2 linked regions of the Schizosaccharomyces pombe genome follow. The protein of the gene in region 2 interacts with the protein of the main gene of each other region in a pairwise test. Each region holds a gene or a part of one and is shown on either strand. Other genes may lie near its edges. The genes, in order: atf31 and atf21.

Evidence for each region.
Region 1: the proteins of atf21 (region 2) and atf31 interact in a two-hybrid assay, tested with the Schizosaccharomyces pombe proteins (one large-scale study listed by BioGRID).

The regions. Positions count from the first base shown.
Region 1 is NC_003424.3:704,451-709,702, forward strand, and holds atf31 (DNA-binding transcription factor Atf31), read right to left. Parts: upstream 3,024-5,252; coding exon 2,394-3,023; 3' UTR 2,379-2,393; coding exon of another isoform or gene 2,238-2,378; 3' UTR 2,203-2,237; coding exon of another isoform or gene 1,954-2,202; 3' UTR 1,912-1,953; coding exon of another isoform or gene 1,842-1,911; 3' UTR 1,803-1,841; coding exon of another isoform or gene 1,187-1,802; 3' UTR 1,152-1,186; coding exon of another isoform or gene 1,079-1,151; 3' UTR 1,041-1,078; coding exon of another isoform or gene 883-1,040; 3' UTR 844-882; coding exon of another isoform or gene 745-843; 3' UTR 709-744; coding exon of another isoform or gene 645-708; 3' UTR 607-644; downstream 1-606. Other genes in the region: ATP-dependent DNA translocase Rdh54, read left to right, coding at 1-86, 123-313, 366-439, 475-606, 645-708, 745-843, 883-1,040, 1,079-1,151 and 4 more; SPOM_SPAC1296.01C (phosphoacetylglucosamine mutase), read right to left, coding at 3,605-3,677, 3,718-4,481, 4,529-4,889, 4,978-5,194.
Region 2 is NC_003423.3:1,720,739-1,724,988, reverse strand, and holds atf21 (Atf-CREB family transcription factor Atf21), read right to left. Parts: upstream 1,977-4,250; coding exon 909-1,976; 3' UTR 539-908; downstream 1-538. Other genes in the region: mRNA guanylyltransferase Ceg1, read right to left, coding at 1-142.

The sequences.
Region 1 (5,252 bases), on a different chromosome or scaffold from region 2:
ACAATATCAGCACTACCCAAACCGAGGCATGATCCTACTGTGCTTGGAGCTTTGGTGATGAGCAGGCCCAAGACTTGGGATCCAAGGTATGGTAAAAGTGAATGCTTGATCTAACATTACAGGACGCATGTAGATGTTGTTATTGATCCTTTCCTTTCAAAGCATCTTTATTCTCATCAGCGGGAAGGAGTTTCCTTTCTTTACGACTGTTTATTAGGAATGGAAGGAAAATGTGGATATAGTGCAATTTTGGCTGATGAAATGGGCTTAGGAAAAACGTTGCAAACTATAACAGTTGTCTGGACTTTATTGAGTATGAGACTTAGGGTTTTTTTTAACTTTCATTCTCTAATCTTATTATTTAGAGCAGTCTTATTACGCCAATCGTTCTTCGACTATAAACAATGCAATGGTCGTAGCACCTGTCACTCTTTTGAAGGTAAGAAGTTTCAAAACTTCATTACTAATGGCTAGAATTGGGAAAATGAGTTTTATAATTGGCTCGGTCACGAGCGTATTCATGTTTATATAGCTAGATGCGCTGAAGATTTCCAAGAATTTACGTCGAACAAAACTTATTCGATTATCATTACAGGATATGAAACGGTAATTCCTTTATTTATTCTTTTTTCTAATTGCTAAAGGTTTGTACGTACTTGAGAAACTATGGATGCGGGATTGATATTGATCTTCTAATTTGCGACGAAGGTATTGATTTGTTCATAAATAGTTTATTAATCTTAGCTCACCGCTTGAAGTCCATGAGTAGTCAGACTTGGATTACGCTGAATAAGCTAAAAACTAGAAAGAGGCTTCTTCTCACTGGTACGCCTTTACAAAACGGTATGAATCAGTGAATGCTATTTAATTTTAACCGCTCAGATTTGTCAGAATATTTCTCTATGGTTAACTTTATAATTCCTGGATCTCTGGGGACCCCAAATTCTTTTAAAGCTCAGTATGAGCGGCCTATATTAAGGAGTAGATCAATGAATGCTTCCTCTAGGGACATATCATTGGGAGCTGCAAGACTTCAAAGGGTTTGTTTACTAAAGATAAATTTTATACTGATTTTTAGCTTTTTGAATTTACAAGCAATTTCACGTTAAGGAGGAAAGCCAATATACTGGCTAAACATTTACCGCCAAGAAGTATGCAAATATTAAAATCAGTATTAACATAATAGCCGACATTGTTTTATTCATAAAACCAACACATCAACAAGAGAATGTTTATGGACATGTTCTCGATGGTTTCAAGTCAAGCGTTGATCAGAAGGGCTATTATCTTAAAATTTTGACTCGCTTGAGCAAGATATGCAATAGCACCATTTTATTGAGAAATGAAAAGGAAAATTTTTTGTCAACGGAGTTGCAAGATAAGCATGTATTCGAGCAAGAGAATATGTTGCTCTCCTCTAGCAAACTGCAAATATTGGCTGCGCTACTTAAAAGTTTCCAAAGGGGTTGCCAAAAAGCTGTTATTGTGTCCCAATATAAAGAAACTCTCGAGTTGATTGAATTGTTTTTATCAATTTTGCATGTCCGTTTCTGTAAATTGCTTGGAAGTACTCCTTTCTCTGAGCGTGATTTAATAGTACACAATTTCAATACTTCCAGCTTCAAAGAATTTAGTGTGCTTTTACTTTCAAGCAAAGCTGGTGGCTGCGGTTTAAATCTTACCGGATCCACTAGGTTAATAATTTACGAACCAAGTTGGAACCCTGCCCAAGATTTGCAAGCATTGTCAAGGATATATAGAAGCGGGCAAAAGCGGCCAGTCTGTATATACACATTTTTAAGGTACGACCGCTTTTACGAATAACATATTAAGTTATGCAGCAGTGGAATGCTAGATGAGCGCATTTTTATTCGCCAAAATACTAAGCAAGGGCTTTCAAGTTCGTTCATAGTATGTGATTTATTATAAAATTTTATACTGACTTGATTGTAGGATTCCGATGCAAGCCAAAAGAAGAATTTTTTTACGGGTGAAGACATCAAGACACTTTTTTCATATTCAAAAACTGAAACTTGCTTGACATATGAATTAGCATTTGATTCTGATGAAATTGATTCATTAACAAAGAAAAAAGATCCGTTAACTAAAATTGACCATACGATTGATTCCCCAAATACGAAGGAAAAAGATAAAGAAATCAGTTCTTGGAAAAAGGCTTCTGAATATATGGATACTAATTTGGTAAGTTGTATTTTCATCCTAATATTAATGGCCAGGGGAAAAAGTGTCCAGAGAACGCATTTCAAGGATGGACTTGGCAATTTCCGAATGACCTAAGTATTATGAATGGCGTAGAAGATTATATCCCTCTTGAGCCTTTACCTATCAACTGTCTAATGCATAAAAAGTTCGAATAGATCTATTTCGGACTTTTAAGGAGGCGTAAGCGGTTTTTCCTTGCCCATTAGAAACAACGCTTTTGAGCAAGCCTTCGATACTGGGCAATCTCTATGAGCAAACACCAAGGTTCTCAGTTTAATTATTTCTTCTCTTAAATCATTAGCACTTTGCAAAAGCTCCTTGTTTTCAGAAGTGTAGTAGTTGACTTGGTCTTGTAATGTTTGTAAGTACTTTTTCTTTTTTATCCTACACTTTTGGGCAGCTTGTCTGTTTCTGGCTTTCAACATTGACTGCTTAGTTCCAGTTAATTTGGAAGTGTTTTCATCACCTGAGTCATCCAGCTCTCGTGATGGTGAGTTGTGTGAAGCCTCGGAAATTATACTGGGGCTTTTAGAGGCAGTGTATTCTGATAATTCATCAAAATCGCTTCTCCTGATATTATATGGATCATTGTTAATAGGGGATCGATCGTCGCCGAGCTCTAAAGCTTTACGTTTGGCTGTCAATAAAATCTGAGTTTGCATAAATTGTGAAAAATCGAGGGTTTGGGAAATTGAGATGTCTTTTTCGAAACGAGAAAGATAAATTGAGTTGTATTCTTCTCCATCTTCATGCTTCGGAATAATGGATTCCTCGGTTGGTGTATTTGTTTCGTAGGTCATGCTGAAAATGATTTATTGATCAATAATTTTTTTAAGAAAAATTTATAGCGTCTTATGAAAGACTTCTTTTTCGCAAACGAGTAGAATTATATATTTGATTTTTTTTATGAGTTTTTGGCACCAACTTCTTTTAATAATCGATTTCAAAGTGATCACTATAAACGATAAAATTTGTACAGCTGGATAATGCCGATTAACTGGTAAATAGGTGAATTATTGAACTTTCCGTCAATATCCTTTATAACAGCTTGATACAAATATGAGCGTTTGTTTGCTCACGCGAGGTTTATATAAGTCCTTTATGAGGGAATATTAAATTCAAGCATTGTGAGGAAGTCCATGTAAACAAACACTTTTTCTTGTGAACACAACAACAAAATTATAATGCCTGGTTATTTTAAAAAATTACTATCAACAAACTGTATACAAGTATATTCGCATATGTATGCACATATTTTTGTTAGATATTATATAAGAATTTGGGTAACCAAAATTATTACTAGATATCCCTAAAAACAACATTAAACAAGACAGTTCCATCATAACCAATTTAGTCATTAACATTTAAATTTAAAAATTGTTTAATGTAATAGTTCAACAATGCGGAGGGCTAAATCCTCAGATTCACCCCTTGAACTAGCTTCCGCATACACACTACAATTAGAGTTAGAATGATAATTAACATTGAACTTACCGAACAGCATCCTCGGTTCCAGATGATCGAACAAATGCCCGACCGCCCGTGTATTTTGCTACCAAAGCGTCAATTTTTTCTTGAAGTCCTTCCGGTGTTACTAGTTTTTGTTCGGCATCAGTAGTAGTATAAATTGACCGGTCTTCTACTTCACAGCGAATTAGACGACTAGGAATTTCGCTATATAGCTGATTCCACTCTTTCAAAGTGCAATTTTTGTGAGCCAAAATGACTTCCACCAAAAGTAAATTAGTAATAGCATCTCCATCAGTTTGATTAATCAATTCAAAGACTGTTTTTAGAGTTTTTAAGGCATTAAATTGGGCTGGAGACAATACTTCATGAGAAATTATCTTTGATAATGCAGCATGAGAGACTAAAATTGTACCATGACCATTTGCTTCAAAAAATACTCCAACATCGTAAGCTTGAGCAGCATGGTAAAGATGCTTAAGACCGGGAGACACACATAAAACCGGTACCTTTAAAGTTTTTTGGAAAAATGCCGTGCTGGCTCCATTTGCATAAGCAGTCTGAACAATACCAACTTGAAGGTCCAAACCAGTAGAACGGATTAGGTCGATTAGAAATTGGGCAAATAAAGCGCATATTTTGTCACCATCTAACAGATGAAAGCTGTGAGAGCCAAACGCAAAATACACAATTCGATCAGCATCCCCGTCAAAAGAGGCACAACGGGCATGTTTTGGGGCACTAATACCGTTTGGAGGCTTTTGCTGAGTCCTTACAAAATCCGCTCCACACTAGTAAATTAGCATGCAATTGTAAACAATGTATCAAAAAAACTTACCGAGTTATTCAACAGTTCAGGATTATCAATATTGTCGTTTACGATTTCGATAGGAAACAGCTTTGGATCAATATACTTGGCCAGTTCTTTTATCTTAGCCGCTCCGACGCCGTTAGCAGCATCTATCAATACAGTCCCTTTAATCTTCTTTCCTGTCATTAAGGATTGATATGCCTTCGACAGCTTTTCAAAATACCCTCTTTCAGTAGGTTCACCTATTGCATCTGGGGTACCATAAGTTTGAGAAGCCTTGACCATGTAGTGTAGCTGAGGTGTAGTTAAAAGGCCAAAATTTTCGTACTTTGCTTTGCAGACCACAATACCGTCAATTACAGCTTGCGCAAGGATTTCTGAAGTAGACCTAAGTATTAGATGTTAGTCTTGGACATAAGATTTAAAAAAGCGGAGAAATTAAGTGATCTAATATCGACAATAAAAGTAAAACAAACCTTGAGTCATAGCCAACAAACACCCGAGCTTCAGAACCGGGAATAATCTTTGCCTTTTTCAAAATTGAAGTTAAACAAACCGTTAATTCGTCAGCGGAATCCGCATTTACTACTTGATCCAGGTATGCTTCCCATTTGCTAGAATCCAGGCTACTCAAAATGTTTACGATCTTTAACCCGTTTTCGGAAGAGGCGTTGTGCGAGGCAGTCACCATAACTAAGATTGTTAGTAAGTAAACTCAAAGAAATACAAAGGAACAAGATGGATATCAATA
Region 2 (4,250 bases):
AAACTGGCTGTGATCCAGGAAATGTATCAGGACTTGTTCCTAATAATTTGGCAATTCGTGTCTTTAAAACCCTCACATCGTCGCGCGGTGCTAAAACTCCAGGGACTGATACCTCTTCAATGTCTTTCTCTGAGGGTGCCATTCCTTTTAATAATACACTCGTTTCTTTGCTAAGAGAGGGCTTAAGCACTTTCTGAAGGAGTAGAAACGGGATATAGTCTTAATGTACTAAATAAAGACACATGGTTTGTATAAAAATTCCTTATGCAGTATAGTGATCTTTTGCTGCAAAACGCAAAAATGCATATAATTATAGCTGCTCTACGAATACTGTTATCTTTTCTACCATTTACTTCAGAAAGTGTTATTCTATTACTTAATTTTTTTTTTATTCCAAAGCAAACAATATATGTAACTGTGGTGTCGTACTGAAGATAAAATGACATGTCTGTGAACGAGGTACAGATTATATGGCAGTGATTACAGATTTGGCTCATCTAGGTCAAGTTCGTAAAGCAATCGTAACCTATTAAAAAAATACATATAGGGAAGATATATCATTACAGTAATTATTAATCTGGAAATGAAACGTGCGTAAAGGATCTTCGAAACATAAACACTTTTAATGAAGAAACATGAATGAAAAACCCAAGCAATTGAATGAAACGAGTTTGGAGTGAGATTGCAAATCCCATGAACACAGTGACGCGAAGAAAATAATAGTATTGTGAAAAAAGAAAAATAAAATATGCCAGAGTTAAAGTACAATTACTATAGACAAGCAGTAGAGCAGCACTGGCCGTCTTTTAAGCATCTCCTATTGCAAGATTCTATCCAGGCTCTCAGAAATGCATATACAGTATAATAAAAAAATGTTACGAAACTTGATTCAATGGGGTGTCATTTGCTCAATGTTTCTGAAAGGACATAATTCCTTGAGCCTCTGAAGAAAGATATTGTCGAATTCCTTCGCAATTGCAATCTTGATGAGCTAATAGTTGATTCTTCAAACAAATTACTTCTTCACGTAGTTGGCTGACTAAAATCCTTAGAGCTTTCGACTGCTCACATGCGATATGTGCTGTTTTTTCGAGATTCTGTGTCCAAAGCTTTTTCTTTTGGCGGCATTTCGATGCGGCTATTCGATTTCTCTCTAAAAACCGCCTCCTCTTCATATCAGGAGTTTCATTGTTACTAGCGGTATGAACATTGTTACTGCCAGGTGTACCCCGTCGTTGACTGGAGGCGACGGTTTTATTGGAACAGGACTCATCGCTGCTGTTGTAGTCTCCATTTGGAGATTGAGACTGCTTCTTGTTGGAGTTTAAGTATCCTTCTCTACGTAAGGATTCAAGATTATAGAAAATCTCATCGTTATTCGCAGTAGCGGAATTCTTATATAGGTCCAAACCTTTTTCTTGTTCCGCTCCTGTTAGATTAACATTGTTTTGCATAAGATTTGACTGCACTACGTATGGGGCGTTGGTTCCATTTTGGAATTGTGGATGAAGCACTTGATGAGATCCATTATTATAATGATTCAAAGTACTACCTTCAGAGTATAATGAAGGTGCAACAATTGTTGAGCGTACAGGAGGAGTATTTGTAGGCTGGCCTTTGTCATTATTGTTAGAAATCTCCGAAAGGTTTACCGTTTGAGGTAATGATACCTCTGAAGTACGCTCGGGTCCTTTGAGGTAATGTCCAATGCTAGCATCACCTACTATTGAAGCGTAGTTATTATGTGAATTCGAGGGAAAGGATGTTTGATCTTTAGGTCCCTGGACTGGACCTCTACATTCATATACTCCGATATCGCTAGATTCAGCGCGTTTTTCTCCAACTTCATGGTTACCACCATCGCGGAATGTATTGAAGTTAAAATGAAAATCATGGTGAGTGCCATTACTGACGCTAGCACCATATCCTTCATTACCTAGTGTATCTAACCCGAGATACACATTTGCGAAATCCATGATGGAAGATTGATGATGAGCAAGTTAATTTTCTATTGAGTGCGGTTGAAATGGTTTCGACGGTAAAGCCGATGAAGATAGTTGATACAAGAACGGACTAAATAAAAAGCGAAAGTTTCTTTTTTGTTAGTAGTGCGAATATGTAGTGATTTCTTGAAGAAGGTTAAATCTTAAAAAGAGGCTATGTTATTCAGGTGCTGGCGAAACAAATTGGGAAGGGAAGATGAAGCAAATTGTGGTCGATCAAGTGACGCAAATTTGGATTGATGAATAAGGATGCAATATCTTTGTATAAAATTTCTGAATAGTGATCCCTGTGAACTTCTTCAAAAAAGTAAATAAAAGAAAATGAAGAATGTATAAACCGACAAGTTGGTGATTTGAAACTTAGGAGCTATCAATGGAAAAGTTTCTTTCAATTATATAAATGTGTTCTCTCTTTATTTTTCCTCTGTTTTAAGCATGCAGTAGTGTCCCGGTTTTAGGAAATGAACGAACGATAAAGGAAGGGATGACAATTCGTCGTTCTACAGAAGGATGGAATGGATTAATGGCAAAAGTGAGGATTCCTGGGAAAATAAGTATATATATATAAGGTGGACAGAGAAAGAAGGTAAAGGATAATGAAGGTGGTGAAGGAAGCAATGTCTTACTGCGTCCCTGGCAAGTAAAGAGGCTTATAAACAATAGAGAACTATGTACTAAGGTGGTTTAAGATACCAATTCCTTAATTTTGGACTTGGATTACTATAAGAATACGTTTCTGCTGAGAAATATGATGCTGCAGTCGGTAACTTTTTGGTTTGTGTCGCAATGTTTATATATGTTGATCGGGTGAGATGAATTTTGACGTCACTGCAAAACAAACAAACGAAGGGCTAGGGTAGCCAATCGGGAAATGATTTGTTTACTTTATGAGATGAACTTGCCGTATAGAAATAAAAAGTTTTTCTTTATAAAAATTTATTTTTTTTTTGTTTGAAGGGATTTGTTGCAATTAACAAAGGCACTATGCTAAAAAAGTCAAGCAGTATTATCCTTTAAGGCCTCCATTTTAAGGAGCTAACCGAAGGGGACTACATTCACGTGTCGCTCCACTGTGTAATATTTACATCACAGTCGTACCGTTAATTGGCCACCATATTCGGAAAGGAAAATCTAGAGTTCTATTTGATGCAGATTATGTCAAATATAATCAGGATTTACTTTTATTTAAACCAATCAAAAAATAGCCGATTACTTGTGGAGAGATAATAACGCTATCCCTCGGTATTCGTAGTCGTCAATAGTAAAGTTGTGAATGCGAAAATATAATATCGCCTCTCTTGCTAGCTTTTTTCATATTTATTTCCTTTAATGGTTTTGATGAAACTACCTAGGCTTCAAATTTTGTCGTTCTCTTACGCGCGCCACCATAAACGGCTTTATCGTTACTGATAATAATAGCTCATATCATTACTATTAGTAGCCTTTCCGCTATCAATCCTTTCTCAAAATTTAGCCGCAACTTGTTTCTAATACTTCTTCATCTTTCTTGCCCACATTTACTTATATTGTCGCAAGCAAGAGTAACATGTTATTGATTTAAATCTGGTTTGCCAGAATTCTCATTTTTAGTATGTATACTATCATATCTTTTAACTATACACGAGATGAAGTTTAACTTTTGGTCACATTAAATCAAAATAGACAGAACGGATCGTACATACGACCATGAGTTAGCCACTGGATTGAATCAGTTCTGCAAATCGAAAGATGTTGAACTTCGCAGTTGACAATATGAGAATACTTTAGCAACATCTGGAATATTTAATTAAGCTCTACGTCAATTTGGTAGAAATGTGACTATCTAAGATATAGTTGGCAATTTCCCGAATTCATAGGATATCACCTTTAAACCTTTTGACTTAATTTAATGATATTATTTTTCTTTATTTTAATTTACTGAGATGTAAATGCCGTGATTGTTGCATGTGTATACCTCAGATAATAATTGGACGTAGACACTATTGATTAACCCACGTAGCTATTTCACTTCTTTTGAATATTTTTCTCTTATTCATTCCTTCCGATTGCTGAATTTTCAATGCAGCCGTCAAATTAGGAACATATTACTTCATACGGACTCTGACTCATGATTCACTATGTGTCGTCGAGTCAATATATTTTCATTATAGTCATTGAAACTTACTGACTTTTGCAAATGACCGTTTCATATAACTTGTAGCTTTTGGTTAAACATGAACGCTATTGCTACAGTCTAGTTCCCATTAG